Notamacropus eugenii: one gene and its partners. The protein of the gene in region 1 interacts with the protein of each later gene in a pairwise test. Links are inferred from orthologs where the notes say so. Each region holds a gene or a part of one and is shown in the gene's direction. Other genes may lie near its edges.

What was found.
Region 2: the proteins of SDCBP (region 1) and EIF1AD interact in binary tests that used the Homo sapiens proteins (3 or more experiments, as listed by UniProt). The two-hybrid records come from large-scale screens. The link is inferred for Notamacropus eugenii from reciprocal best matches to the Homo sapiens genes SDCBP and EIF1AD.
Region 3: the proteins of SDCBP (region 1) and HNRNPC interact in binary tests that used the Homo sapiens proteins (3 or more experiments, as listed by UniProt). The two-hybrid records come from large-scale screens. The link is inferred for Notamacropus eugenii from reciprocal best matches to the Homo sapiens genes SDCBP and HNRNPC.
Region 4: the proteins of SDCBP (region 1) and WASL interact in binary tests that used the Homo sapiens proteins (3 or more experiments, as listed by UniProt). The two-hybrid records come from large-scale screens. The link is inferred for Notamacropus eugenii from reciprocal best matches to the Homo sapiens genes SDCBP and WASL.

What each region holds. Positions count from the first base shown.
Region 1 is NC_092875.1:277,130,437-277,138,581, forward strand, and holds the start of SDCBP (syntenin-1), read left to right. Parts: upstream 1-4,898; 5' UTR 4,899-5,122; intron 5,123-8,145. UniProt on the Homo sapiens protein: Multifunctional adapter protein involved in diverse array of functions including trafficking of transmembrane proteins, neuro and immunomodulation, exosome biogenesis, and tumorigenesis.
Region 2 is NC_092873.1:18,668,668-18,675,195, reverse strand, and holds EIF1AD (probable RNA-binding protein EIF1AD), read left to right. Parts: upstream 1-4,311; 5' UTR 4,312-4,447; intron 4,448-4,747; 5' UTR 4,748-4,760; coding exon 4,761-4,847; intron 4,848-4,932; coding exon 4,933-5,041; intron 5,042-5,109; coding exon 5,110-5,218; intron 5,219-5,295; coding exon 5,296-5,343; intron 5,344-5,656; coding exon 5,657-5,792; 3' UTR 5,793-6,011; downstream 6,012-6,528. Other genes in the region: BANF1 (barrier-to-autointegration factor), read right to left, coding at 2,976-3,122, 3,420-3,542; SART1 (U4/U6.U5 tri-snRNP-associated protein 1), read right to left, coding at 6,252-6,270, 6,358-6,479.
Region 3 is NC_092878.1:12,639,334-12,647,089, forward strand, and holds the start of HNRNPC (heterogeneous nuclear ribonucleoproteins C1/C2), read left to right. Parts: upstream 1-4,686; 5' UTR 4,687-4,947; intron 4,948-7,756. UniProt on the Homo sapiens protein: Binds pre-mRNA and nucleates the assembly of 40S hnRNP particles. Interacts with poly-U tracts in the 3'-UTR or 5'-UTR of mRNA and modulates the stability and the level of translation of bound mRNA molecules. Single HNRNPC tetramers bind 230-240 nucleotides.
Region 4 is NC_092874.1:127,331,812-127,339,815, forward strand, and holds the start of WASL (actin nucleation-promoting factor WASL), read left to right. Parts: upstream 1-4,911; 5' UTR 4,912-5,379; coding exon 5,380-5,499; intron 5,500-8,004. UniProt on the Homo sapiens protein: Regulates actin polymerization by stimulating the actin-nucleating activity of the Arp2/3 complex. Involved in various processes, such as mitosis and cytokinesis, via its role in the regulation of actin polymerization.

The sequences.
Region 1 (8,145 bases):
GCATACTTACATAGTTACCAGAGAGAAGCACCAACATCTGGGTTTTCAAAGTGGGGGGGACTCCCTAGTGGTTGCCCAGAGTCTCATCTGGCCAAACACTTCCAATAAGTAAGCCCCAAAGTTAAACCTCACTTCAGAGTATTTATAAACTTTTCAGAGTCAGAGGGCATCACAACCCTTGAGAACCAGTGCCTCTTTATAAATTAAGGAAAGGTGTGGGTCTCCCCTAATCAAGTTTCTCTTAATGGGCAGGCCCATCAATGGGTGGGGAAGATCTTTAACTCTCATTGGCATTACAAGATCACAGCTGAAAAATGCTATTCCTTATGTATGCATATGTATGTATGTATACACATACAAATGATATATATTTTGAAATAACTGATTATAGAAGGCTACACCTCAATTTTCTAAAGGCAACATTTTCAGGGGGAGGTAAATCCAGCCTATATTTTATCAATACCATAATCCAAATGTGTTTTTTCACATACCCTTGATTTCACAGAATTATTTATCTCAGAATTTCTTTTTAAAAATTTACTACTTGTCCATTTAGACTATACACTCAGTTTTTAAAAAAAATGCTTTGTATGCAACTTTTCAGTAAATTACTCATCATCTAAAGTGAGAAACAGTTCGTATATGTGGAAATAAGTATGTTGCATGCTAGTCAGCTGAGTAGTGGTTTTGCTGTCTTACAAGGAATTGTTCATAATGCTATATGAAATTGCACATAGAGAAAAATAATTTTTTAAGACATTGTTATCATGCGGAGAGACTGTGGTTGATTTGTCATGTGGCTGGCATTAAAAGAAGGAAGGAGTTACATAATCTTACAGATCAAATGACCCGCAAATAATTAACTTTTTAGTAGTTTATTCAAATGAAGACAGAAACCTACAGAACAACAGTCAAAATTGTGTTATAGAATTAGTATTTCAGGTACTTTGCAAATAAAAAAATGAAAATCTTAATTCTCAAAACTGTAAATAAATGTGTAACACAGTGGAGCTTTTATAAAGAGGAATATTTACTTCACTAACATACATACTCTCTGCCTCTCCCATCATGGAGATGCATAATTCCTCCTCCCTCCATACTACCTCAGTCTCTGGGGACAGGAAGGTGATTAGGTTTATAGTTTGGATCCAGTTCCCTTAGAACAAAGTCTCAGGTCAATGTCCAAACGCTTCACTTGGGCTCCAGTCCAAGGTACCCTGGGTTCTGTGGCTTCCCTTTACTGGAGTGGGGGGGTGTAGTGTACAGTTGCACTATCCTACCTGCAATCCTGGCTCCAAGGTGGTTATGGCTTGAACTCCTGGTCCTCTGGGGATCACTTCTAGCACCTGAAACTAGAGACAAACAACAGAGAAGAGAAACAAACACCCTTAGATCCATGTCTTAGAGCCAGAGTAAAAGAGGAAGTGTAGGGGCAAACATCCAGGCTAGGAGTAGCAGCTAGGAGCATAGACAAAAGATGGGAGAGGGAGGAGTAAGAGAGAGAGGACAGAGAGAGACAGAGAGAGACAGAGACAGAGAGAGACAAAGAGACAGAGAGAGAGAGGGAGAGAGACAGAGAGAGAGACAGAGAGACAGAGAGAGAGGAAGAGAGACAGAGCGAGACAGAGAGACAGAGAGAGAGACAGATAGACAGACAGACAGAGAGAAAGAAAGAGAGAGAGGGAGAGACAGAGACAGAGATACACAGAGAGAGAGACAGAGAGAGACAAAGAGAGAGACAGACAGACAGACAAAGAGAGACACAGAGGGAGACACAGAGGGAGAGAAATAGAGAGCCAGAGGAGGCTACCCCACTTATGTGGCAGGGGACCCCATGAGCTCCATGAGCTTCATGTCAGACAAGCCAGGCATGTTCAAAAGCCCACAAACATTGCAAATGTTTATGAGAATTATTCATGTAATGAGTGTGAAGAGGGAAACCCTTTGATCGGTTAGACTAGGGTACTACCTGTAGAGCTAGGCAGGTGCTCTGTTTCTTTTCTGTGGCCATGTACTCTAGCCTGTTTCTGAAGGACATAAGCTTAATTGAGAAACTGTAGCAACACTTGATTGGTCACCAATGATGGGGATTGAGTGAAAGTCGATTGTCAGGAGCAGGAGGAGTTGTATATTTGGTGGATTTTAAGAGGAACTGAGAAGAAATAACTCATGATCTTTTATGGATATGGGAATCTTCCAGTGCTTGCCCTCTCTTGGATTGCCAGCAAGGGGAAGGTGAAGAAGTTCTATCTTCGTCCTAGCCCAACGGCAATGATGACTGCTATCATATGGCAACAACAACATGGTGTTTGCCTATGTGAGCCTGAGTCCTTAACTACTTTTTACTTTTTGTTTTTCCCCTGAGCATAAAATATATCACTAAACCTGAGATATGGACATTTCTAGCCCTTGCTATAAACTCATGAAGTAAAAATGCTGAGAATTATTCAGCTGAGTGATAGCTGACCACTGGGAGGTGATTACCATCGTTACATCTCAGAAGAGAAGAAGTACCACTACCAAGAAGTACCACTACTACAGAAATGCATAAAAAACCCAAGCTATACCTTGGATGGCCAGGAAATTTGTTGTAAGCAGCTCATACCGTGCAGGTTTGATATGCAAACAGAATGTGGGTTTCAGCAGTTTCACAAAATTGTCTTTACCTCTGGGAAGAGAGTAATGTAAGAGACAGGATATTATTTTATGTTTCTGCATTTGTTGATGTGTACTTGCGAGTCTTTTGTGTTTTAAGCACTTTCAGTGATGGTAGAAATAAAAAAAAAATCTTCTCAGTAGGTTTCTACATATTCATAAAATATTCAAAATTTATACTGGTAGAGCCCTCATAGTATAGTACTTCCTCTGGTCTGCTCCCTCAAATAGCAATCGCGAGCTGAGATCACTGAGGAATAACTACCCCAAGTACAACATTTTAAGGGTCCTCACTAGTAGCTTTATGCCTTATAAGCCTCTCCTGAAGTATTCTTCTTCTTAGCTACCTAGAGCACACAATGAGCAGATAATAAAGGAATTGCCCCAGCTCACATAGCTAAGTACAGTAGCAATAAAATGTCCTCCACAAGCTGGGGCATACTCTCCCATAAATATATACTGCATCAGTGCATAAACTTTACAAATAGAATGGAACACAAATAGGGAACCCAAGTGACCAATGCAATCAATACTTCTGGTGCTACAGATTTCCAGTGTCTTCTCAGAACTTCCTGGAGTTGTTGTCCCTCCAGGAGCACAGTATCACTTTTTGGATGAGTTTCCCTTCTGGGCCCCTTAAGCTTTGGGTGATACTCAATAGATCTGATATTTTGCTGTAGTCTCCACTGTCTCTGCCTTTGGACTCAGCCGTAATCGTGGACTAAAGTACAGGTATGCAGTTTGGGGCAGAACTGGAATCCATACTGTAAGATTCACTGAAGCCATCTCCTAAGTAGGATCCTGTCTCCAGCTGCCATATAACTCCTGTTGTTGACTACCATGGACCCTATACTTCCTGACACTGCTAAGTGCTTCTACTTCAAGATGCCATTGTCAACCACGTGGGTGGGGGTGATTCTTTCCTTTCTTTGTGGCACTCTCCAAGATGTACAAGGGAAAATGTAAAGAATGAAAATCTCAAAAGCTGAGTGCTTTCTCCATAACCAACTCTCTTTTGTTCTTGATCCATCTGTTTGCTAGACAGCAGGCTTGGCTCTTGCGCCTCAGGTCCTTCCTGTTTGCCCAAGTCAAAGAGTAGACTACATAACCTTGGGCGAATCACTTACCTTTTCTCAGCCTCATTTTCCTCACCTGAAAAGTGGGAATATAACAGCACTTACTTTACATAAAGGGTTGGGAGAATCAGATGAGTAGGAAGTGCTTTGTAACCCTAAAAGGACTACACAGATGCTAGCTCCTATTCTCGTTACTCTTATTGTTATGCAGAGGAAAGGGCACGCTTATCTTTCCCAAACTTTAACCTAGTTCCCTGTACAAATGGGCTGTTCAGAGTCTGAAGAGGGCACCTCACTACCAGCAGCCAAGTGCCTGACAAGGCTGTGCCCTTTCACGCCTTCCAAGCCATCACTTCCTCCTTACATTCTAAAGTCTCCAAGTAGATGGGGAGCAGAGGCAGAAGTCAATTGTCCTGGGGTTCCTTGACCAACTCCTTTGCTACATTCATATTTTACCTATAATAAAATTATAAGTTGCTTAACATACAGCCGCAATTTGCATTTAGCAGCTAATTAATGATTAGTACTCAGACTTGGGTCCCCTATTACAGAGGGGCTCTGGGGATCCGGGCAATAAGAAGACAGTAAGTGGGGGAAGGGGGGTGTACTCAGACATCTTGATGAATTCGGTTCGGGAGCCTTCCTTAAGCCAAGGCACTGTGCTGAGAGCTGGGTACACAAAGGCAAAGGACGGCCCTCACCCTCAAGGAGCTTACGGGGAGACGAACGTGGACAAGGCACACCACAGCCAGGACCAAGGAGACCTAACTAAGAGGAAGAAAGCACCGGGATAAAGGGGGTTCAGGAAGGCTTCCTGCAGGAGGAAGCCGGAGAGAGGTGGTCAGGGCAGAGACAGGAGATTCCGGAATCCGGGGCGTCGGGAGCGCTTCCTGCGGAGGGGGCGAGTTTAGTTGGGAGGTCAGTGGTCGGATCAATCAACATTCATGACGCGCCCGCTGTGTGCCGGGCGCCTCCAAGGTAAGGATGGAGAAAGCGGAAAGCGGGGAGTCTCCGTCCCCAGGGGGTCGCGGATGGTTTTCCGCCTCCTGCAGGGGCTGAAGGACGCGAGCCAGCGAAACGAGCAGAGGGGACAGTGGCTCTATGCCAAACCACATCCCCTTCCCCCTCTCCCAGCCTCTCAGGCTTAGCCCCGCCCCAAGGTTGTCTTGGCAACCCCGAGGGCGGGGGAGAGTGACCGAGGAGAGTGTCACCTGACCTGGATGTCGGAGAGTGGTCTGCGCAGGCGGGGGGCGGGGCTTAGGGTGGGTGACGTAACTCCCCCGCTGACTGATTGCTCGGTTCCCGGACTTCTCCCTTCCCTGAGGATCGGGAAAACCGTTGCTGGGAAAAGCAGTTGAGACCCGTTGGAGGAGACAGCGGACGACGCTCAGGTGGGCGGCAGGCTTTAGGGGGGGCGGAATGGCAAGGTGACCCCCCCGTCCCGGGCTCGGTGGGTTTGGGGGCGAGGATGGGAAGCCGTAGGACTCACCCCTTGGGGCTGTGAACCCCCGGGGCGGGGCGGAAGCTGCGCTGGGGCTTCATCCGCCCCCCCCCCCAGGAGCCGCGATCCGAATGGGCCCCCGCCCGGGGCTCGGGCTTGGGGGGGGGGGCGCGGAAAGCCGCCGCCCCCGGGGCAGAACCAAGGGGGGGAAGGGCGTGGGCCTCGGGGCACCTCCTCCCGAACCCCCGTTACCTGCGAGAGGCTCAGGAACGGGGGAGAAGCACCCCAAAGAAGCCGGGCTGCGGGCTCGCTCCCCGCCTCTTGGTGGGGCGCCTGGGGCCTGGAGGGGGTGGGGGGCTTGTTGGTTCCGTGGGCGCAGCTTCGGCTGGGGACGTGGAGATGACCCAAGCCTTGGCTCGCCGCACAGACCTTGACTTGGGAGAAGGTGGATCCGGTGGAGGGCACTGCCGGGTGTGGGCGCGGACAGCCCAGAGCCCTCGGCCCTGGGCCCCGGAGCCTGCCTTCCTGACCCGGAGGGCCGGGGGCCGAGAGCCGAGAGTGGTTGTTGACAGTCTTTAGCAGGCGCTTAATAAATGCTGATTGAAGTGTAGAGGGGACTCTTACAACACGGGCTTTTCATTTCAACCGAAATGACAGAGTTTTGACAGGAAATTCCAAGGCTATTTCAAAAGTCTATGTTTCTGGGGCGTATTTTGTGCCAAATTGTAATTTCTATTAATATCTGCGGCTGGCCTCTAGTTGAGGGAAAAGAATACTAGTGACTTATAAAGGGAAAAGTTTTAAATGAATGACCACTCATGGTAGTTATTAGCACAGTTTCTGGCACATAATAGGCACTTAATACAGTGTTAGTTCATTTGACATGTCTTTTTATAGGCTGCAGTTCTGCCTCAAGTATATTTTATAAAGATTGGGTAGTAGCCCTACCCACTGGGTTTAGGGTTTCCTGTTACGCTATATGCAGAAGATGTAGAGAAGATCTTAGTTGTCTAGTCGTTTCATTTTTTTTCTCATCCTAGCTTGGGACTAAAAATGTAGAAAGATAAAAATTGTAACTTCATAGTTTGTTGGTTATCACCAATGAACTCTTAGAGAGCCTGGTAGCCCTACAAGACATTTGAGCTAAATAGTACAAAAGTAAGCAGTATAAAAATTTTAAAAAATTCATCAAGCTTTTCATAAAGATTATTCGGTAACCATAAAATTGTAACCTAAACTAGATTTTGGCTGTTAATTTCTGGTCTTTTTTTTTTCCAAGATACTGGTAGGAATGGTAGTATACCGTACTCCCCAACCAGAATGGGAAAAATCTAATAATAGTAGATAGTTACTGTAGTTAATAAACTATCTCCTTAGAGTTGACTTATCCTCCAGATTTTTGACAGAATTAGGTAGGTGAAATCTATTTTTATCCTTTGGCACTATGTAACCATAAGAAAGTCAATTTAAGTCATTTCTCTGGGCCTCAGTTTTCTTTATCTGTAAACACAAATAGCTGCCATTTCTCTTGTGATCTAGAGTTTGCAAAGCTCTTTACATTCTCACTAAGGTTTTTCTGTTTTGTCCATCTTAAAGAGTATGCTTAAGAAAAACATGAATATCATTTGGGTGCTAGGTTGAAGCAAAAGAAATACTCAAAGGGAATATTAATTGAGACATGAATATATGAACTTACCTCTTGGAACAAGAGTCTGAAATGAACAGGACCAGAGATCTTGATCTTGAACTTTAGAGCTCATCCTGATACAACCCCTTCATTTTACAGATGAGACAGATACAGAGAAGTAGGTTAAGTCTCTTGACTTAACGAAGATCACTAGTGAGCTGGATGAGAAAACAGATGAGGAAATGGAGATGAAGTGATTTGCCCTGATCACAGAGCTAATAACTACTAGCACTGCAAAGTCTAGCACTATTTCTACTATACTCTATTGTCTTTTCATAGTCTAGTTTAGATATGTGGAACATGGAATTTGTTTTTTAAAAAATTACCTTTATGGAACATTAATTCAATTATATGTATATCATAGTTTTCTATTGCCCTTTAGGAAGTATTTATTTTTTCAAAGTTATAGACAAATGAATAGGAAAATGTTTTTTGAGTATGGTAGGAGAACCTTTGGCTTTGGGGTCAGAAGACTGTCACATAGTACCTATGTGACTGGGGGCAAGCCAATTAACCTGCCTGTGATTTACTTTCCCACATTTATGAAAGGAAAGGATTGAACTAGATATTTTCTGAGGTTATTTCCAGCAATATGATCCTATTCTTTCTCATCACTTGTTCCAAGAAGGAAGGTCATTATTCCCTCCTATCCTCCCCCTTTAGTATATCTTTTGTTCCAAGGTCGCACAAAGCTTTCATAATGATGTTTTTATCACGTGAATATATGCTGACATTTAAGATTTGTTGGATATTTCTGGAAATATTTTTTCTGATGGTTGCTTTTAGGCCAGTGGATCATTTGTTAGGTGTCAGGGGTAAACCAGTTTAATTCTAGGTAAGTGGAGAGAGAATATCCCAAGAAAGGAGTGGGTCTGTCTTCTATTCTTGGCATGTTTGTAAAGGTAAAATCTGGTTTAAATGAATGTCAGAGGAATCAAAACCTAGAACATAAATATTAAAAATAACAGTGAGTCAGATAAATGCAAATGGGAAGACATGTTACAAAAGGGAAACTATCCGAGGAAGGTCTCTCGGATTGATAGGTAGGGAGGTTCATTTAATTACTTTTAAAATGTTTTGAATTTTTTGTGATTTTTTGTGTTCATTTTGCCACAGCTGCTTCCCATGAATTCCTCCATATATATAGCTCCCCACCTGATCGTAACATAGAAACAGTCAAGTAAAACAAACCAATACAATCCCTATGTAGCAGTACTCACCATAGTCTACTACTTCTTCACCAGGATGAGAGTATGCTTCATCATCAGTTTCTTGAAATTAAGACT
Region 2 (6,528 bases), on another chromosome or scaffold:
AGAGGACCATGACATCAACATGACATGACCTGCAGTTGATTTTGATTTGAGTGAGGGAGGGCTGTGCAAGGTCACCAGCCTCATTTCTCCTCCAGAGTCATCAGGACTGGAGATGGCCCAGGAGGCAATGGGAGACCCTGGCCCTTTCAGGATAAGGTCCTATCACATTCTCACTTTGAGTGAGATACAGCCATTCAATGAATAGACTTCTTTAAGTGGTTGGTCAAGGGATGGCCCCTTTAACTAAAAAAAAGCATCACACGGGGAGGTCAGACCCCCCACAAAACAGCACATGGGGAGGTCAGACCCCCCCACAAAACAGCACACAGGGAGGTCAGACCCCCCACAAAACACCACACAGGGAGGCCAGACCCTCCACAAAACAGCACATGGGGAGGTCAGACCCCCCCCACAAAACACCACACTGGGAGGACATACCCCCCACAAAACACCACACGGGGAGGCCAGACCCCCCACAAAACACCACACGGGGAGGACATACCCCCCACATTCCCCGCCCGGGCCAATTCTGCCCTGTCCTTTTAGCCTCACACTGTAAACAGTGTTCTTTTCTGCATCTATTCAGAGCCATGATTTGGATTTTAGGGTTTTTTCAGCATTTTTGTAGGGTTTTGTTGATGACTGCTCTTTGCAGTAGCACTGCTTTGATTGTCTTGTGAAGTTACCTTGTCAGGAAAGGAAAAGGGGGAAGTTCTAGGTTCTGAATCAGCAGGGAAGGGCTTGCTGAGCCCCTCACAACACGTATTACACCTTTCACTGGGCCCAACAATCAAGGGCCACATTCCTGCCATCTGGGGCTCTAGTAACTTACTCAGGGTATGGGGGGATGTGGTTTGGTCAGCTCCCTGTCAATCTCCCCAGGTTCAACAGAGAAGGGACCTTGTCCAGCTACACCCAGAGTTCTAGATGGCACCAGTCAAAAGTATGCCAGCAACTGGTAGCAGGGTGGGAGGGGGCGATGAAAGTGTCAGGCTGGGCTAAGCAAGGGAGCAGAGTGGGTGCTCCGTGTCAGTGATGGAGCCCTGCCCCATCCTCACCTCCCAGTGAGCACGCCCTACCTGGGATTTCTGTAGGCTCAGCATCAGATAACACCTTCCCCTTGGGCATGGGACAGCAAGCTGCTGGCTCACCCATTGCCACAAGTCTCCCCAGGACTCTCTTTTGTTCTGTCATCCTTTGGCCAGTCTCACCCTTTCCAAGGGTATGCTCTGGGGTGCCAACATCACAAATGGCCACAGGATCCCACCAAGAGAATACAGAGATGACCTGTCATTGCTCCTTCTTGCCTCATATGAACCTAACTCCAGCCAGTAACTGGGAAGATAAACAGATATTTGCCTCCTGGGCCCCTACTATGTGTCTGGCCACCTGTGCTTGCAACCTCAAGAAAGGATCAGTCCTGACACTTTGCTCAATCCCTCTAACATAGTCACGGAACACGACCACACATGAAGCAGAGAACAATATAGAGCAGTGTCTAACAAACACAAAAACTATGGTGCAAGCATATGTTGTAGGTTACAGAAAGGTGAAAACTCAGTGTGGGCTGGAGTAGTCAGGGAAGGCTTCCTGGAGGTGGTGGGAGTCAGGATGACCTCATTTAACCACAGGGACATTCCTCCCTCACCATGGAACATAAAAAACCAACCTCCTCTTTCCTCAATCATAGAATCCTAGGTACACTGGAAGGAGACACCCTAATTGACAGAGGATGAGGAAGCTGTAGTCCAGAGAGCGAATTGCTTAAAGACATACTGGTCACAACAGAGATAGAATTTAAACACAGGACCTTTGCTTCCAAGCCACCTAAGCACAGTGAAGAGAGATGAGGCTGGAGGGGGCGCCATAACAGATCAAACTTGTTCATAAACTTCTCTCTAGACAGTACATTTATCACTTTCTTTGGGCAGATGATGTAAAGCAGTTTTTTCCCTTGTTGCAACCGCCAGCTTCTCCCTGCACTGGCTCCTCCTAGGCAGCGGGGCTAGTTCACTCTCTGGGTACTCTCCCAAATAGCCAGGTGTTTTCTTGTGCCTGGAATGTTGTGGTTAACACAGGAATGGTGTTCCTTGCTCCCTGCAGTCATTCCTAGGCTTCACCAGAAGCATCCCTGGGAATCGAAGGTGGACAGCTGGTCTTCCACCCCCATCTAACCCAACACAGGAAACCCGATCAGCCGTCCCTGCAACCTGGCAGATGGCTCCCCTCAGCAGGTGATCAATGAGCCACATCCTGGACCAGGCCCAATACTAGCCTCTGGTGACATGCCCTTCTTTGATACTCACTAGACTACTCTGCCTATACCGAGGCACTCAGGCACAGCAGCTGAAACCTCAGCCCTAGGAGGAAGTCACAAAAAACCTTTCCCCCACATAACTAAGGAGCTAGGACACCAACATATTTGCCCAAGTCCCAAGACACCTACTCCAATGACCTGAAGATAGTCATGGGATGAGTTTACAGTTTGGGTTAGTATCTGATAAGAGCGGTGTTCTTGAAGGAAGTGGCTGCTTCCTGATCCAACATTCCCCCTTGTCCCAATTCCTGTTCACGTAACTAAGAACAGATGTCAAGGCTGATGACTTTATTGGTTTTAAAAAACTCTTTACAATGGCAGTGAACATCCCTCTACCAAAGTTACCCAAATGGCATAAAAGAGATCAAAAGTGGGGGGTTAGGGGGTAGGGAAGCCACTCCAGAGACCCACCCAGGAAAGCTAATAACTATCGCCACTGAAATTTACAGGACCAGGAGGCATGCTGAGGTGTGGACAGGGAGGCTTGAGTCAAAATAGTGGTGGAGAGGGGAAGGTGTCCCAGGTGGGGGCGGCAGCAAAAATCTTTCCTTCTGTTGGGAGGTGGGAAGGGAGAGAGGGGCAGGATTTCCCACTTGGGGGTGCTAACTGTGAAGACCCATCGGAGGGGGTAAGGGGGGCCGGCCCCCAGGCACGGGGCTCACAAGAAGGCGTCACACCATTCTCGAAGGCAGCCAAAGCAATCCCGAGCCTGCTTGGCATTGGCCCCACAGGTGTCTTTCAGCCACTCTCGGAAGAGGTCTTCGTCTTTTTTCAGCACCAGGAACTGGCCCAGAACCACGTAGGCCTGAAAGAGACACAGAGCCAGAAGGCTGTGGGCAGGCCACCTGGGAACGAGCTGGGGCCGAGTCACCGCCCACCCCTCCCCTTCTAAGGGGCTGATAGCGCCCCCGGGCCCAGCTGTGCTCGCGGGATCCGCCCCCATCTCCCAGGAATGAATGCGCAGGCCGGCACACACAGCCCGGGGCTCCCGGGGGTCACCCGCCCTTCCTTTCCTCCTCCGGGGCCCCACAGCCACGCCAGGGGTCGGCGCCGATCCCCACCCTGCCTCAGTCTTCCCTCTGGTCCCGCGAGGGCCCCGGACCTTATCGAAGCCCTTGTCCTCGAGCTTCTTGCCCAGCACTTCTCCGATGCCCGCCAGGCTCCCCACGGGCTTCTCCCCCATGGGCTCGGCCACGAAGTCCCGGTGCTTTTGGGAGGTCGTCATGGCTCCTCACCACAGACCTGGGGCGGACCACAGGGAAAGCACACGCTCGCCTCCGCCCCAAGCCAGGGGAGCTCCAGGCACCGCGCCCGCGCAAGCCCCGCCCCCTCCGCACGTGGCCGCCAGCCCCAACCCATGGCCCCGCCCCCTCGCGGGCCCCGCCCCCTCAGCCCCCGCGTCTGCCTCCCCGCGTTCCCCGGCGGGAGGGGGGAAGGGTCATCACAGCCGCCCGGGTCTCCCCCGACTCGCCCCAACCCTGCCCACGACCCTGGCGCTCGTAAGCCGCGCGCACGCCCACCGGCTCCGGCTCCGGCTTCTGTAACGGTCACACTACCACTTAACCGGCCTCTCCCGCCGCTGCCTCAATACCGCAAGGCGCGTGCCGGCTTCCGCTTCCAGGTTGTCAGAGTCGTTTCCGGGTCAAGGGCAATTTGAAGGGAGGCGGGAAGGGGGGGCGGGGCCTAAGGCAATGAGGCGGAACCGGGGAAAGGGGAGGGGAAGGGAGGGGAGGGGAAGGGAGGGAGGCGAGGACCAGGCGCATGCGCGTCTGCGGCGGAAGCGTGCCTCAGGATGGTTCCCAGGGAGACGGCGCCGCTCTGTTCTCTCTTCTCTATGGCCAGATCTGGGGCCGCACTCCTCCCGGCGCGGGGCGTGGAGTGGAGGGTGCTCACTACACGCGTGGCGCTTGCGGAGGCTCCCCACTCAGCCCAAGACGGGGCCGGCAGCGGCAGAGGCGGAACTAAAGTGCCGGGGTCTGCGGTGCCTAGCAAGGGGAAGATTTAGCCGGGAACACCGAGCCCTCTTTTCCCCCTCCCCCTCCCGAAGCGAGCACCGGAAGCGTGGTCTCCGGAAGTTCTCGGCTCGGGCTGGCGGTCTCGGCGGAGGCTGCGGCAGTGGCCAGCGGGAAGGTATGGTGGCAGAGGGCCCTGTGGAGGCGGCGGGGCCCAGCCCCGCCGGCTGTTTCCCGATCTTAGGTAGCAAGGGTTTCCGGCGGAGGCTGGAGACGGCTCGTCACCCCTCCCCCCATCAGTGTCTGGGGCCGGCCCGCGGGACCCAGACCCCCGTCACCTCCCCCTCGACCATCCCAGAGGCGTCGGGTTAAGCCCGGGCTGCACCCGGTCTCCGAGACCCTCAAGAAACCCCTAGCCAGCTAGTGGGATCCCGCCCCGGCGGGTCACTGACTCCTGTGGGGGTCCTGACCTCCACAGACTCGGAACCAGCATGTCTCAGACCACCAAGCGGAAGCACGTGGTGCAGGAGGTGCTAGGGGAGCACATGGTGCCGTCAGACCAGCAGCAGATCGTGAGGGTGAGCCCCGGCCCCCCGCCCCCCTCCCGGGATCTCCCGGCCGCTGCACCCCCTCCCCCAACACGCTCTCCTCCGCCCCGGGCAGGTCTTGGGGACCCCTGGCAACAACCTGCACGAGGTGGAGACGGCGCAGGGGCAGCGCTTCCTGGTCAGCATGCCCTCCAAGTACCGCAAGAACATCTGGATCAAGAGAGGTAAGGGGGCGGGGGCAGAGGCCCGGCCCTGCCCGGCTGCCAGGCCTCACCCGCGGCCTCTCCTGCAGGAGACTTTCTCATCGTGGACCCCATCGAGGAGGGCGAGAAGGTGAAGGCCGAGATCTCCTTCGTCCTCTGCAAGGACCACGTCCGCTCCCTACAGAAGGAGGGGCTCTGGTAGGGCCCGGGGTCCTGGGGGGAGGGCTCACCTGGCCCGGCTCCTCTCCGCCCCCTAAATCCTTTCCCTTATTTAGGCCTGAAGCCTTCTCAGAGGTGGCAGAGAAACAAAACAGCAGAAGCAGGTGAGTGTCTCGGCTGTCCCCTCTCCTCCCTCCAGCACAGGCTGCTAGCAGGCCAGCACCCTCTTTGGGGTGGACTTGTCTGTCCAGCTGCTTGCGAATGCTAACTAGGGAGGCAGCCCCAAGGCTGTCCATGCCCAGCTGCTTACTTGGGGCTAGCTTGCCCCAGTCTCACGTGTAAATGGGACTGATGTTTCTCAGGTTGGGGGGGATCCTGAGCTGTTCCAACTTCTGCTTCCTCGGCTTGGAATCTGGAAGTGCTTCTGTCCTGGGTATGGCTTCCAGGAGCCTCTCTCACTCATCCTCCTCCCTGCAGACCGCCTCAGCCAGAACTTCCAGGAGAAGCCCAGTCTTCAGAAGACGACAGCTCTGCAGATGACTCGGACCTTTTTGTCAACACCAATCGGGTGCAGTACCAGGAGAGCGAGGAGGAGAGTGAGGAAGAGGCCTGAGATTGCAGCTTCCTTTCCAGCCGGAAGCCTAGTCCTATACCTTGACCCCACCTCCATGGACAGAAATGGGCTTGCTCTGTGCATCCACCCCCTGGCTGGGGATGAGGCAGGGCTCCCATCTGGACTCCTACTCTTCTCTGTAAGAGATTAAACCCCTGGTGGGTTGAGAGCTGTGGTTGACTTGTACCAGTGTGCCTAGTAAAGCAATTCCGACTTTGACTTCTCACTCCGGTGCAAAGGAGGGACCAAAAACTTGGGTGGGGGGCTGGCTACAGTGCTAACCAGCCACTGGGGGCATTTCAGAATGGGCTCCAGGACAGGCAATACCTAGTTCCACCACCCAACTCTCTGTCCAGCTCTGACTCAAGGGAGGAAAATGGAATCATAACTTAAACAAGGGAGGAAAAAATAAGGAGGGAACTTTATTTAATATTAAAGGACTGAGGATACGAGACATCTTCACTTTGTGATGGTGTTTCTGTGGAAAGAAGAGACAAGAGATGAGGGAGGGAAACAGACACAAGTGCCTCTCCCTCCCCTGTCCCAAGGCCCATCCCCTGCTCACGCATTCATGCTCTTGCCGCTGCCACTAAGTACGATGTACGGGGTCTTCTGGGCTTTCTGTTTTTCCTGGAGCAAGGCCACTGTGCCCAGGGGTGTGTCACTGGAGCTCATCTTTTTCAAGAGCTGTAACAAGGGGACCCCTTATGCTCAGTGGCCACTTTTACAAACTCTT
Region 3 (7,756 bases), on another chromosome or scaffold:
GGTTTTGGGAACAGCACTTTCTAGAATCCCTCAAACAGGTTCTATTTTCTACTCCTTTCCTGGTGAGATTTTGTTGAATTTTGTTACTCATTAATCTCCCGATTCCCTCCGTAGCACCCAGACAGAAAGTTTCAGGGTGGAGTTAGCCTATGTATTTTAGTTTATGCATTTAAACTTCGAAGACTCCCACATTCCGTCTGACCTTGTTTTCAGGTCTCCTCTGCTCTGGGAAAGGGAGATTTTTGCAATCCCTTCCTCTAATCGTCCAAAATACAGTGTGAAAGTCTATGACAGGTATCCAGCTTTCCCCTCGCCCAAAGAAAAGTATGAGGTAAATTCAATAGATGTTGGAAAAAAAGAGTAGAGGGTGAATGCAGAGGAGGAAAAATCCAAAGAGCAGAAATCCTTTTAATTAGGTCTATAAAAAACAGCTATGGAAAACTGCTTTTTAACTTCTCTAGAGGAAAATCTTCAATTGAGAGGAATTGGTTTTGTTTGCATAGCTCCGTCTAATAATGAATACGTGACACTAGCTAAGTAAATTGTGTGAAGTTATCGGAATTTGGAGTTGGAAGGGCTCTCAGAGGCCATACAGTAAAATTCTCTCATTTGACAATTGAGGAAACTGAGACCCAGGGAAATAAAATGTCTTGCCCAAGGTTTGTGAAAGTGTGCACAGCTTCCTACTTTGCAAGACAGTCATTAATGGAGACTTTTCAATAATTATATCATGAAATGGCAGTGGTATGTAGTTTTGTCATTGTGTGGTATTTAGATATTCAAGCTCTATAGCTTATTAGCATGGACTCCCTCAAAGCTGTAACTAGGGTAGGAAGCTGGGGCTGTGTTCCTGGTGATCAATATTTAAAACAAGGGCTCTAAGCATAGGTTCTATGAATCTATTTTTAAAATTTCAATAACTGCGTTCACAACATAACTAATATAGTTTCTACTAGGTGATCGTAAGATGGGTTCCTCCTCACATTGGGCAAGAGAGGGTGGTCCACAGGTACAAAAATAAACTGGAGGACTTTCTATATCAAGCCAAAGCATCCCACCCATGCGGTTTGGTCACAGTAACTGAACAAAACAGGGTGCAGATACCCTCATTCTTATGCAAGCGAATTTTAAAACTAGTAAGTAAGTAGTGACCAGGGAATTTATAGGTTTTAAAGTTTGAGGCCTACTATACAGAAAAGAAAAATCTATCTTATCTACTTATCCTTATATTGTAAAATATGCATTAATATGTTATTCTTATACTAATATTAGTTGGGTAAACTGACTATATGTTTATTAGTAGATAAGTATATCCTTAATAATTGCTTATAATCATTGTCCCTGTAGAATCACCCTGATCAATACTGATTGAAATACAATTGAAATAAAATTGAAAAAAAATCCAATAAATCTTTCCACTCAGAACCCCTGATTTAGAGGGCACAAAAATATTAAAAAGACAAACTTAAAAGATTATACAATTTAAAATTTTCTTCCATGTTGATAGCCTTGTACACTTTTACCAGCGTAGAAATGACTGAACTTCTACTTGGTAAGACTAGTTAAAATAAGCTACCGTATCATTAACGTGAACCTTGTAATGAGTTATAATTTCCCGTCACAAATGAATTTTTCGTCTCATTATTTTTACATTAATTGCCAAATTGATGTAAGTAAACTTTTCTTGCTGCTTGTCCTGAGTGCCAGAATAGCTAGCTCTAGATTCCCTCTATATCTCTGATGTAAAAATGCTACTTCTTCAAAGCCCAGCTCAGGTGTTACCTTCTCTTCTGAGGTTTCCCTCATTACAATGGCTGGAAGTCATCCTTCCCTCTCTCTTACACACTTAATCATATTCTAATGTATATTATAGCTATCTGTGTACATATCTTATTCCAACTACTATGGTAGATTATTCAGTCACTGAGAACAGGATTTTGTGTTGTCATTCTTGAATTCCTAACACCTAGCATAGTACCATACAATTAATAGGCAGCAAAGTACAATGAAAAAATCAATGAACTTGGAGCTGTAGGACTTGAGTTCGAATGTTGACCCCGACATTTATTTCCCATGTGACCTCATCAAGTTACTTAATCTCTCTGGTCTCAATTTCCTTATATGTTAAATGAGGAGATTGAACTAGATGATCTTTTAAGATTCCTTCCAGGTCTAAGTCCACGGTTTTATGAACATTTAACAAATGTTTGTTGAACTGAAGGCAGGACTCTTCTCTTTTACGGTATTTCCTTTAGGATTCCTTATAGTATCTAGAACACAATCAATAATCAATTCTATCAAATAATTGCTAAAGAATTTTCTATAATCCTATGAAAACATTTTTCTTTCATTTTCTATAAAGGTGGCAGTTTTCTTTATAAAAACCTTTGTTACAACCTTGATATTCAATATCAACATAACTGATTAAACACACTGGGTAACAGTTCATATTTACTTTAATTTTAACCTATAAAATGTCCTAACCCTTTAATCGGATGCTCTATATTCAATCAGGATTCTTTGTCCATTTAGTCTCTTTTTTTTTCTCTTACACAGTTGTAGCAAGTGGTATTTTCATTCTTCTGGCTTTGTCTATTTACTTGATGTTATTTCATAAACTTTTCCATATATTTTTTATTCTTCATAGCTAGCTAAATGATGCAGCGGATAGATGCAGCTGGAGTCAGGAAGACTCTTGAGTTCAAATCAGACCTCACATATTATGAGCTACGTGACCCTGGGCAAGTCACTTAGCCTTTGTCTGCCTCAGTTTACCCCTCTGTAAAATGGGAAATAGCACCTACTCCTGGGGTTGTTGTAAGGATCTGTAAAGCGCTTTGTACAGTACCCGGTAAGCGCTACATACATGTTAGCTGCTTTTCTTATTAATCAGAAGAAATGCCATCTGCCAACTCCCCATGCTTCAGATGACTTCCTTCCTTCCTCCTGGTGCCTCCTGGTTTCCCTGGCTTCCTTCAAGTCCCAGCTAAAATGCTACTTTCTGCAAGAACTCTTTCCTGATCCTCCTTCACTCTAGTGCTCTCCCAGTGTTGATGATTTCCAACTTCTTTGGCTTGTATCCTGTGAGTACACAGTTGTTCCCATGAGCACCAGCCGTCTTCTGCCTTCTTTTGTATCCCCACTGCTCAGAACAGAGCGCAGAGCGGCTCTCAGCAAACATCCACTGGCTGTGACATCAGTGTGAAGGTGGCAGTTTCCATGAAGGACTTCCACACATCCAGGTATCTGTGCTTTGATCAGCGGGAGTGCCCCCATTCATCCTCCACACCTCAGCAGCCAGGTGATCCCGTGCTGGTCTTGGAGAGGGGCAGAAGACTCCACCTGGAGACAACTGATGGTCCTTGGACGAACCCAGGTGAATACAAAGCAGTCTTGGGGCCCTTCAGGGCCAAGCGCTGAGCGAGGCTTCACGGAAAACAGAAAACACGTTATTCGGCCCCCCACATTTGTCCTGGGGTGTGCGCGTTTTTTTCTTAACAAGATTCTTCTAGCACTTCTGGTGCCCCGTGGTACGCACCTGACGTCAGGGAGAGGATGACGTCAGGGAGAGGATGACGTCAGGGAGAGGATGACGTCAGGAGAGGATGATGTCAGGGAGAGGATGACGGCAGGGAGAGGATGACGGCAGGGAGAGGATGACGTCAGGGAGAGGATGACGGCAGGAGAGGATGACGGCAGGGAGAGGATGACATCACTCGCCCTTGACTTGGATCTGGGTGGGGGAGGGCTGTGCAGTCACCAGCCTCGCTTCTCCTCCCGAGCCATCTGGATGACTGGAGATGGCCCAGGATGCACCGGGAGACCCTGGCCCATTCAGGCTAAGGTCTAGAAGGCCCGACCTTTGCCCTGAGGGCATTGATAATTTGAGTGCTGCCCCCAATCACATGCAGAACCTCTGGGTATCTCAGCACAGTAACTTTGGAGAAGGGTGGGCCGTAGTCGGGGTGCTGGCACCTCGCCCCTGCGGGTGGGGTGGTCCAAGAAGGCACGTCAGAGGGAGGTACGGCCGGGGCAAAGGCCTCGGATCCTCGTCTGGGATTCCTCGTGGAGACCAGGGGCATGCGGGGGAGGGCCCTGAGCGGACGCACTGGCAATGTTATTACTTCGGCAGCTGTGAAATGGCAGGTTAAAGGCAGAGTGGGGAGCTGCGGGGGGCGCTCGTGGCGGTGGTGACAGGAGAAGGCCTTCCCCAGCCAGGCCTTCTTCGTACACACGCGGCCCTCTGGTTCTTCCCGCCACCTCGGGTTGGGCATCGGTGGGGAGGCGTGCGCACGTGGTGCAACGCGAGGCGCGGGGGAGGGGGAATGAAAGGGAAAAGCTCGGGCCCTGCTTCTCGTGGGCGTCTGTTAGCGCCGCGGGAATTCGGAGAACGGGGCGGGCCTTCGAACTCGCGCGCTGAGGGGGAAGGGGTCAGGAGGAGCTTCCGCGACCTCCAATCAGAGCTCGCTTGTAAAACTGGTGGTACCCGGATGTGAAGTCCTGCGCGGATACAAAGGCGAGTCTCTCTGTTGCCTCTTCGTTTCCTCCGTTGACCAATGAGCACCTTCTTGAGTTCAAATGACAACATCTACAGCCAATGAAAGGCCAGTTTCTCCCTCTGGTGCGGACTCACTGCCATTCTGACTAACCTACCCATGATTCCTATTGGACAGAGCTGTGACTGGCAGTCGAACGGTCTAATCGGGAGTAGGGACGGAGAGCAGCATTAGCCAATAGAAAGGCCTCTAGGAGTGGGGCGGAGGTCTCGGTTTTCGCGGTGTCGGTGGACGAGACGCGGGGGCCATTTTGTGAGGAGACGGAGACGGGGACGGAGAAGTAATAGTAGCGGTGGAAGAGGCTTGCGGGAGCGGGAGTCCGTTTCTTTGCCGCTGTCGGATCGGGGAGGCGGAGATTCAGAATCCACCCCTTTCTCCCTCTCCCCACCGGGTGAGTGGTGACAGTCAAGCCGGGGGAGACCCTGAGACCCTTGGGGGAAGGCAGGGCGGGGGAAGGGAACGTGGGGGAGAGGCGCAGAGCGCGTCCCTCCATGATAATAGCGCGGCCCAGACGGACTTCCTGGCGCGGCTTGAGTCTGAGGGTTGGGGGGAAAGGCTTCGAATGGGCCTCGACTCCATGGTGGGTGGACATAGTTCCGCAGGCCCCGCGAGCATGTGCCGCTGTGTAACGGCGCCCGCCTCCGTCTCCCCTCCCCCTGGGGTAACGGCCCACGGCCCCGGCGGAGCCCGCGAGATGTGGGCGGGGGGGGGTGAGCTCGTGGTGACGCCGATCCTTACTCAATGCTCTGGTCCCTAATTAAAGATCGGGAAGGGGGCGGGTTTCCCTGGAGATGCTCAGCGCCATCCGGGCCCCTTCCGTTCTGGGGGGGGCGGCGAGCGGCCGTCGCGAGTGTGCGTGGAGAACGATCCCAACCCGTCTGGCCGGTGGTGTGCCGTCCATGCACCCAGTCCCCGTGGCGGCTGCAGAATACTAACGTTCACTCTTTTTTCTCTCCTCCACGACAGAAAAGGTGGCTTTGGCAGTGTTGGCCCTAAATTGCGTTTGTGGGGAGCATAATTAACCCTAACGTAGCTGACTGACCGCTTTCTATCTGCAGGTTACAGTCATAGTTAGTGAAGCTTGGCTGGGAGGTAGGTATGGCCCTGCAGGCTCGCGGTGTGGATGGCCCAGAGGAGAAGTTAGACGGGTCAGGGATGAGGGTTTGTGAGAGTGCCGGCCCTCCGAGCGCTTGCCCGAGTCTCCTTCAGAGACCGCCGCCAGGCAGCCGGACACGTCCAAAGTGTACAGGAGATGGTCCAGACCTCAGATGACCGACATGACGGTTCTTGGGTTAGCTTACTGTTTGAAAATGGTAGCTGAAAATGGACAATTCTAATTTTTAATTAGGGTAAAATACAGTAGAGGAAATGGGGCCAGAAAATCCTTCACGGGAAGTCATACTGTTAGTTTTTAGGCACAGGGTAGCACATCTCTGCTGAATGCCCTCTAGTACTTACGTAGCGCCTCAGCGCTTGTAAAGTGATTCACATGTGTTATAATTGAGGGCAGGTAGGCGCTGTTAGTCCCGTTTTACAGGTAGGAAGCAGGTGAAGTGACGATCACGTAGTGGATGTCGGAGACAGAATTTGAACTCCCATTATCCTGATTTCAGGACCCGCAGTGCCCGCTGTGCCTTCCAGCTGCGTGTTATGGACGCTAATAAAAGGATCCTTTGTTCTACCAGATTAGCACAGAAAATAGTGGAGGAGGGCAAGGATTCCCAAACATTTGTGATTACATGGACTACACTGTTACAATAGGAAGTCTTTTATCAAAACATCCTCCGCAGGAACCTGATAATCTGGGTGTACTTGTTAAGAATGGTTAGTAAGAGAGGAAAATTTGAAGTGACCTGTAGTTCTGACTATGTGAATACTGGAGGGTCATTTTTGTATCCTTACAGCATCCTGAGTGCATATAATGAAGAGAATTCAGGTTAAACATTGCTGTGAGCGTGAGCGACTGGCCACAGACCTAGATCTAGATGCACTTTACAGTAGGGTGGGTAGAGGCAGCATTTCAATGTTGTGATAGCAGGCTAAGGGAAGAAATGAGCAAAGAAAGGTGCTGTGCGTACGTTGCTGGCATATTGTGCTCAACCTTTTCGCATCCTTTACATTTCTTTGCCACCTTAAAAGATCTTAAGAGTTCAAAGAGGCCAGCCTCCCACATTTCCAGATAAGGCAGTGGAAAAACATTTAGTATTTACATTATTTTACTCCTTCTAGTGATTGTTGACCTCCGTCATAGGTAAAAAAAGATTTAAGAACATAATCCTTGATTATAGTTCTTCTGTGTAGCCGTTATAATCAAAGCTTATAACAGAAGTTTGCATGACATGTGACCAGATTTTAGATCTAGTATCACATTGGAAGAATAAAAGAAAGTTTTAGGTCTTGATTTACTAAAAGAGTTACATGTACATTTTTCCTTGTGAAGTATTTTACTGTGAAGGAAAGGTTAGGAATTAACATATTCCGTGGGGAGGCAGTGTTGTACAAATAAAGAGCGCGGGATTGAGAGGCAGATGAGAAGAAAGTTGTAGTTACAGCTCAGCCACTAACTAGCTGTACGAGTTTGGTCATGTTATGATGAGCCTCCATTTATCTGAAATGAAGTTGGAATTAGTCTTTTACAGGTACAGTCTGTCTTTGAAAGGTCTTTATTATTTGAACAAAGGATTTAAAAAAGAGTGGATAAAGGTTCATATAATTGGTTTTCACAATTATAGCTACAACCAGTGGTAGATGAAGTTGCACCCATATCTTTGATAAAAATAAAGGGAGATTCATTTTCTCAGCTGTTCTCCAAGGGCAAGGTTGGTTTTTAGAAGCTTTTTGTTTGGGGTTTTTTAAATGAAATTGCCTAAAAAAACAAGTTGTAATTGAACAAGTGCCTTAAAAAATTCTCTTGAATAACTAGGCTATTTCAGTTAAATTTTTTAGGGATTTGTTTTTGAGATACAGTGTTGTTTGGTTATGCCTTTGTATTGTCATATTCTTATTTTATGTTGGAAATGTTGGGTGATAAGTTCTTTTGCCCAAGGTATAGAAATGGCTTTGGGGCAAGGTGGAACTCTATTGAAAGAAAACAAAACAACCAAAACCCCCTATTTGTGCTACTCTGGTGAACCACCTGATAGAATAAAAATAGATTTAATGAAATATGATTTCCATTTCCACTTCCTCCCCTCTCAAAA
Region 4 (8,004 bases), on another chromosome or scaffold:
CTCATTCATTCATTCATCCATTCAAAAATTACTTATTCAGCACCTATTCCATGCAAAGCACTTTTAGTTAGTACTAGTGAAAATGCAAATCTGAATTAATCTGTTATCACTTAGTAAAAGAAGAGTTGTGGAAAAGCTCAAGTAAACATCAAGATGAATAACAAAGGGAGGACAAATTTTAAAAAATGCAAAGAATTTAAATTAATTAACTTATCCTTTCCTAAGAATTTCTGAGACTTTCTGATGTCCATATCTGTGCTGTCAACATATAGAAACCCCAATTTTGTAATGAGGCAAAAGTCTTTGAGTATATTTTGCTAGCTAAGTTATCCAAGGGGCAGAGGTAGTAGTTGTGGAATTAGTCCTGGGCTAGTACTGATTTTGCCACTGATGTAACCTGATATAACCTTAGACAAATTACATAACGTCTACTGGATATTTCTATTCTTTTCTGTAAAATAGGAGGAAGGGATGAATTAGAAGATCTCAAAGATCTTCCTCTAATTCCAAAATTCTATTTTCTATCACTGCCTCTCTAGATTTAATTGCATTATGCAATTACTGCTCTACTGCTTTGAGTTTTCCCTCTTTCTCCTCCTGCGCATGCATTGCCTATCAAATCTATCTCTACAACAGGGATTCTTAATCTAAGGTCTGTTAAATTTTTTTTTGTAATATTTTGCTAACTGTATTTTAATATAATTGACTTCCTTTGTCATCTTTTGTATTTTAATTTATACATTTTGAAATATTATTCTGAGAAGAGATTCATAGGTTTTGACGGGCTGCCCAAGGGGTCCGTTTGTGACAAAAAAAAAGAAACGTTAAGAATCCCTACTTCTACAGTATCTCCCACATCTGACCCTTTCTCTCATTCCAAAGGCAATGAGCTTTGTTCCAGGTTTCATCACCAACCATTCACCTGAACTATTAAAAAAGTCTCCTAATCATCTTTTGTACTTCTCCAGTCTCCATGCAATCTCCCATGGCAGTGACCCAATAATCATCCTAAAGCACTGATTGTGCCTACTTTAAATCTTCAGGATTCCTACTGCTTAATGAATATAGAATAAATTTCTATTCCTGGCATTCAATGTTTTGGGCAAAATTTACCTTTTCAGTCTGATGTCATACGGTTACCCTTCACATGTTCTATGTTCTAGCTAACTAAGCCAAACTATTACCCAGAAGAACAGCTGTTGTAATCTGTTGGAGTGTGCTGGTAAGTTTTTAGCAGTAGTTCTAAAAAAAAAAAGTACAACATGCTTTTAAATTTAATTTGCATTATTAACGTTTTCTTAAATCTTGAACAATTAGTCAAGCCCTGATTTGTAGCATTTGCTACAAATGTAGCAAATGTAATGTAGATGTTGAGTTAATGCAATCATTAAGATAAAGGTTATAATAAGTTAAGTACCTACTTAAAGCTTAATCAAAACTTCTGGACAATTTTCATAGTTCTGGTACTAGACTGCAGGAATTGAAGGCCATGAATGCATTGACTCTTCCTGACCTAATTATCAAAGGTATCAATAAATAGCTGGGGGAATTCCTCAGGGGAGGACAGTGCAAGTTGGTTGGGAAAGAAACATCTTGAGATGAAGGATTTTGCTGCCAGTTTGACTAGGCCAGATGTAGATGTGACCCTGATTAACAAAAGATCTGAAATGTGTTGATTAGCTCAAGGCGTTAGTAGTTTCATAAGAGAAAGTTATATTACTTTCTTTGAGGAAGAAGCCTTAGAATTCCATGGCTGCAGAAGCTCAGAGAAACAGCACAGCAAAACAGGGGTGTGCAGGAGACAGTTGAAAAGGCTAATGAGAACCTGGTTGTGTATTTGGGGGGGATGCCTCAGAAATTGGCAAATGCTACAAATCAGGGCTTGATTAATTGTTCAAGATTTAAGAAAATGTTAATAATGCAAATTAAATTTAAAAGCATGTTGTACTTTTTTTTTTTTTTAGAACTACTGCTAAAAATTTACCAGCATACTCCAACAGATTATAACAGCAGTTCTTCTGGGTAGCTTTGGAAAGAGAGAGGATGCACAGCTTTTAAAGTATAGTGGAGTAGCAGTGACATATAGCCAGCATCAGGGAAATACAGATGCTTTCTGAGAGGTGGATCAGGTTTTGCTCAGGCCTACTTAGTGGTAACAGCTCAGGATTGGAATATTGGAATATAAGACACTTGTAGACTGTATAACATTTAACAAAAAGGAATTTACTTAATAGCATTGAAAGAGTTTTCAGGATCCTTACAACACTGATATATTTAGATGCAGCTTCCATGCCTCCCCATTTGCCACCATGATATATACCTGAGGGCTCTCCTTTACTGGGCTTTTTTACATAGGTTACTAGGAAACTATATCAAAGATTCAAGCATTAGTCTTCAAGACCATTAAATCTTGAAGATACTTTTTGCTCTTTAGAGGAAATCTAATAGCTTAGCCTACTTGGAGCAGATGAGGCTCCTACCACAGGGAGTTACCTGCTGTGATATAATTTCAAGATCAAAGATCATGAGATGTTCAGGGTAGAAGCGGCTCTACGGGATGGTGGCTAGAGGAAAGTGTGATCTCTTGCATCAATATGTCAATCTGCAGAAGACTCTCTTTTTGTATAAAAGGGGATGTTTCCTGCTTATTGACTTTGCTATTTTGTGCCAAATAAAGGTTTTGCTACTTGATGTATAGTTCCAGGTCTGTTGGTAGAGAATAAACTGATGGGGGGTTTAAACTGTATTTGTTTTACGATGAACAGCTAAAACACCTCATCCTGAAACTGGGCAATAGCTTATCTATACTACCCATAATTTCATGTGCCCATTCTCATCATTGGTGCAGAATAATAACAGCTAGCTTCTATGTAGAGCTTTAAGTATGCAAAGCACTTTACAAACATCATCTAATTTTATCCACACAGTAACACTATGAGGTAAGTGCTATTATTATTCCCATTTTTACAGATGAGGCAACTGGCAGAGATTTTGACTTGCCCATGATCACATAGGTAGTAAATTATCTGAATTCTTGGTCTTCCTGACTCTAGAGCTAGTGAGGTATCTGCTGTATTACCTAGCTGCCTCCAAACACCAGGTTCTTGGGGGAGAGTTTTAGGTGATAGAATTTTAAGGCAATGGAGATATAACAACCAATCAATCATTATTTATTAAGAATGTACTGATCCAGGTGCTGTACTTGATTATGGGGGTACATTAAGTACATATAAACATACAAAGATTTACAATGGATGAAAAAGGCAGCAGAGAACCAATCTCGGTATTTATATATGTAATAGATCTTTATTATATTCCAATACAACAATTTTATTTATTGAAACTTCTAATCTGTCTACCTTCCTCAAGTCTCTCCCAATGCCAATCAGCTAGTCTTCCTAAACCTTAGTACATCTGACCATGTCACATTCCCCTATTCAATAAACTCCATTGGCTCCCTATTTCCTCCAGGATCAAATATAAAATCTGTTTGGCTTTTAGAGCCCTAATTTGTCCCCTTCCTAATTTTCCAGTCTTCTTACACCTTACTCCCCTCATCATACTCTCAGATCTAGCGACACTGACTACCTTGCTAATTTTTCATACTTGGAAGACACTCCAGTTTCATGCATTTTACTGTGTCCTCCACAACTAAAAAAGTTCTTTCTCATATCCGACTTCCTTCAAGCCCAAGTTAAAGTCCCATCCTCTCAGAAGCCTTTCCTACTCTCCCTCATGCTACTCATGCTTTCTTTGTGATTTTCTCTCCTGTTTCTACAGTTTGTATGTAGTTGTTTGCACGTTGTCTCCCTCAACAGAATGTGAGTTTCTTGAGAGCAAGGATTAGTTGGGTTTTCTTTGTCCTTGGGTCGTTTATGTCTAGGGCAGTGCCTGGCACTTAGCAAAAATTTCATAAATGCTTATTGATTTGAACCAAATATAATTCAGGTGATATCAGCATTCAGCATTGCACAACAATAAAAGACATCGATTTTTAAAAAATTGTTGAGGTTTATTTCAAAGCATTCGGCAACTATTTCTACACTAATTCAACAAACATTTCTTAAGTGCCTACTATGTGCCGGGCACAGAAAAGTCACTGACGCCTGATGGTTGTTAAGGATGTTACAGGTAACATCCCCAAAGGAGTCTGCTTAAGGGAACTAAATAAAGAGAGCCTTCGGCCCCTCTCCCGGGTGGGAAGAGGGCGGCGAGTCCGCCTCCGAGAAGGAGTCCTTTCTGGGGCTCACGGCGAAGGTCCGTGCACAAGCGGGGAGTCCACCAGGTGCACGGCGTCACTGCCCCTCCGGGCGGGCCGAGGCAGCCAGGCCGGGCGCTTTCACGCAATTCCCCGGGGCCGAGAGCGGCCTGCCGCTAGACTCCTCCACTCCCTCGGAAGTTGGGACAAAACTAGAGAAGAGCTCGGACACCTGCACTTTCGGGTGACGCTGCCCGGGGCGGGGGCTGGGTGTGTAAGGGGCGAGGCGGGCGCGCGTTCCGTCGGCGAGCCCCCAAACAAGCCCCATTTCCCGGAGGCGAGGCCAAGGCCTGCTGGGAGGTTCGGGCACGGGGAGAGGTGAGGGGGTGCAGGAGGGAGATGGGATTCCCCGCATCCCTCCACCCACGCCTGGTCCTTTAGTCCCCGAGAAGCTGTAGCAGTTGAGGCTGGACCCTAACTGGAGACCGCGGCCTCCACAGGCCAACAGGTCGACCTCAAGAGGGAGGAGAGCCCGAGGGCACATCGTCACCTTGACGAGCAGCTGGCGGCCGGGCTGCTAGTTGTGCGCACCGGCCGCACTCCCACCTCGGGCGGAAGGGGAGGCGGGATCTGCAGGCGAGGAGGCGGAGCCTGTGGGGCGGGACTGGGCGGGCGGACTGGGACGAGGGGAGGGGGGGAGGAGGAGAAAGGTTGTTCTGGCTCTGGCGGCCGCAAGTTTCCGGCGCGCACCCCCGCCTCCCGTGTCCTGTGGTCTCGCCCGCCCCCGCTGCCATGTTGGATTCTGCGGCCCCCACCGCAGCCGCCGCCGCCGCCGCCGTCGCCGTCGCTGCTGCCTCGGAGGAGCCGGAGGAGTCCAGAGTTTAGCGCCGTCTCTAGTCGCGGAGGACGCGGACAGCAGAGCATCGGCAGCCGGCAACCTCTCTCCTCCACCAAGCCCGAAGCGAGGTCCCCCCAACCCCCGCCCGCGTCCGGCTCCTCCTCGTCCCCCCCTCCCCCAGAAGCCCTGAGATGCTGCGGCTCTGACTCCGCTTCTCCCCGCCCCTGTCACTGCAAGGGGGAGACCCACGCAGCCGCCCGGCCGCCCCGCGGCGGAGGAGGAGGACGCGGAAGACACGGCCCCAGCTCCGGCCCCGGCCCCGGCCCCGCCGGCCCCCGCCACCATGAGCAACAGCCAGCCGCAGCAGCAGCCGCCGCCGAGGAGGGTCACCAACGTGGGCTCGCTGCTCCTCACCCCGCAGGAGAACGAGGCGCTCTTCGGCTTCCTCGGCAAGAAATGTGTGGTCAGTTTCCCGACATTCGCCGCCCCCTCTGGAAAGAGTGGGAGAGGGGAGGGAGGGTCCGTCCCGGGAGCGCTGCCCACCTCCAGGGCCCAGCCAGGGAGGCTGGGGGGGCGGGGGCCCGAGGCGGTGTCACCTTCCCTGCTCCTTCTCCTTCAAACTTTATTCTCAGGCCACTGGGGGTGGGCGGGGAAGGGGTTCCTTTTGCCCGGGAGTCTCCCCATCCCCAGAAACGGGACTCCTTTCGGGCTCCCACTTAACCCCCTTGGGTAGCCTTCAGCATCCTCCAAAACGGGAAAGGCTGCGGACGCCGGCGCTTAGAAATGAATGAAGGGGGCCAGGAAGCGCCCCCAGCCCCCAGCCCCAGCTTGGTCGCTCTCCCCCGCCCCCTCCGGGCGCTGGGCTCCGTAGGAGAAACGCTCGGGTGCTTTGGGGCTGCAATGCCAGCTGTTCCCCGGCTCCTTCCGTTTCCAATCGAAAGGTCTGGTTCGAGCAGGAAATGCTGCGGCTCCTCCGACAGGGCTTGTTTCTGCTACATTCTCACCCGGGCCTGGTCCCTCCTTCCCTCCCTCCCTCCCTCCCTACCGGTGCTTGTCTTCCCCTGGAAGGCCGGGGAGGTGGAGGGGGGGCTGGGGAGGCGGGGAATGGATGCTGTTTGCCTCTCCGCCATGCGCAGTGGAAACTCGGTCTCTGATACTTCTGAGCCCCGAGGAAGCGGAGGGGGGTCGGGGGGACGGGACGGGAACGGCCGCGCTGAAGTCTTAGGCTGCGGTGGTGCTCGGCTCCGTCCAACCCCCGATGGCCGGTGCGGAGCGACGGGTTCTGCTGCGGGTTGTTGAGAAAGCGTTCCTTACATGGACTGCCGGCTCTTCTGGGGCTGGGGAGGATTTTGCCGGGTGGGGGTGTAGGCCTTGTCAGGCTTGGGCTGCATCTCCCAGTGGCTTGGGGCAGGGCTGTGGTTGAGTTAGCTGGAGGTCTGTCTTAGTTCCTCCTCTCCCTTACTTGTTACCACCTGCAGAGTTTTATGTGACCTGGGAGCAAGCAGTCAGTCACAGCGTAAGGGGGGAAAATTTAACCGAGAGATGTAATGCAACTACCTTCCTTAGTAACATTAAGCTATATCAGACCAGGCTACACCTGTTTGTACAAGAAGTCAGGATTAGAAAATTTCAGGAATGTTATCAGATTAATTGTTAACTCCCCAGGAGTCGACCCTTTGTATACCGTGCAAGAGTTGCAGTTTATAAGCTGGATCATTTGATTCAACTACAGACACTTACACTTCAGCTTTTAAAAAATTAAAGTTATTTCTAATGTTTGGCCGTGGTTCTGAGGCACAACATAGATTTTTAGCAAATGACATGATTTGGGTTTAAAGATTATACAGGTTAAGTGGTTGGCCGCAAGGATAGGTTAGGAAGAAGTTTGTGGCATACAATATTTAAGGGCTTTTTGTGACTTTTGCCTGCATCCTTATTTTCTGTTCTTGCAAGTGTAAAATGTTTAAATCTTGAAAATAATCACTCGAACAATAGAAATAACATGAACATTTTAAGGGAAAGCAGTAAACATTTTCATAGTGCTATGTGCCAGGTGCTTTTTACAAAATGACCCTGCTGTGTAGTTGTTAATATTATTATTCCCCACATTGCCGTTCAGAAAACCTCAGCAAACAACATGAATCGCATAGCTATAAGTGCGTATGTGAGACCTGATATGAATTAACATCTTCCTAAATCTAGACCCAGCCCTCTATTCTCCAGCTGCCTCCTAGAGCATTACTCTTATAAGGATCCTAGAATACGGTGTGGAGATACTTAGAATTTGAAAAAAATCATATCTATATAATGAGTTACTTTATAATTGTATATGAATACTACAATACCTTATAGTATTACACTTGCTACATTTTCTGAGTTGAAGGGGAAGTAATTTTCATATCAGACACATTTAGACAGGAAGGAAAATAGCAGTTGTATACAAGTGTACTAAGTAATTACTGTGAGATTGCCATTGCTGTTTACCGTTTGCCGCCTCTTCCAGTTTCAAAGAATGACTGGTTTGGAAGGACACAGAACAACTGTAATACAGAAAGGCTGTGTGTTTCAGTAGTTGAAGTAGTGAACTGGTAGATAAGCTGTTAAATTATTCTTTAGCCAGCCTTTTTGTCATGTCATTCAGTGTCAAACAAGACAAACTCCTTGCTTTTCACCTTTCCTTAACGACCCTACATTATTCATGTCTGTTTTGGATAGAATGCTGTTCAATTCAAGAAATATAAAACATTATGATAGGCACTGGGGATAAAGCGACAAAGGAAAGGAAAGTCTTTGCCTTCAAGGAGCTCACATTCTACTATGGGTAGGATGGAGTGTGATAAAGTATGAATATAGATGAGTAAAGTACGAAATAATTTGAAGAGCTAGAAAACTTTAATAAATGGGACCATCATGAAGGAGATAAAAGCTTTGAAAGATGATAAGGATTCTGAGAGGTGTTTCTAGCCAT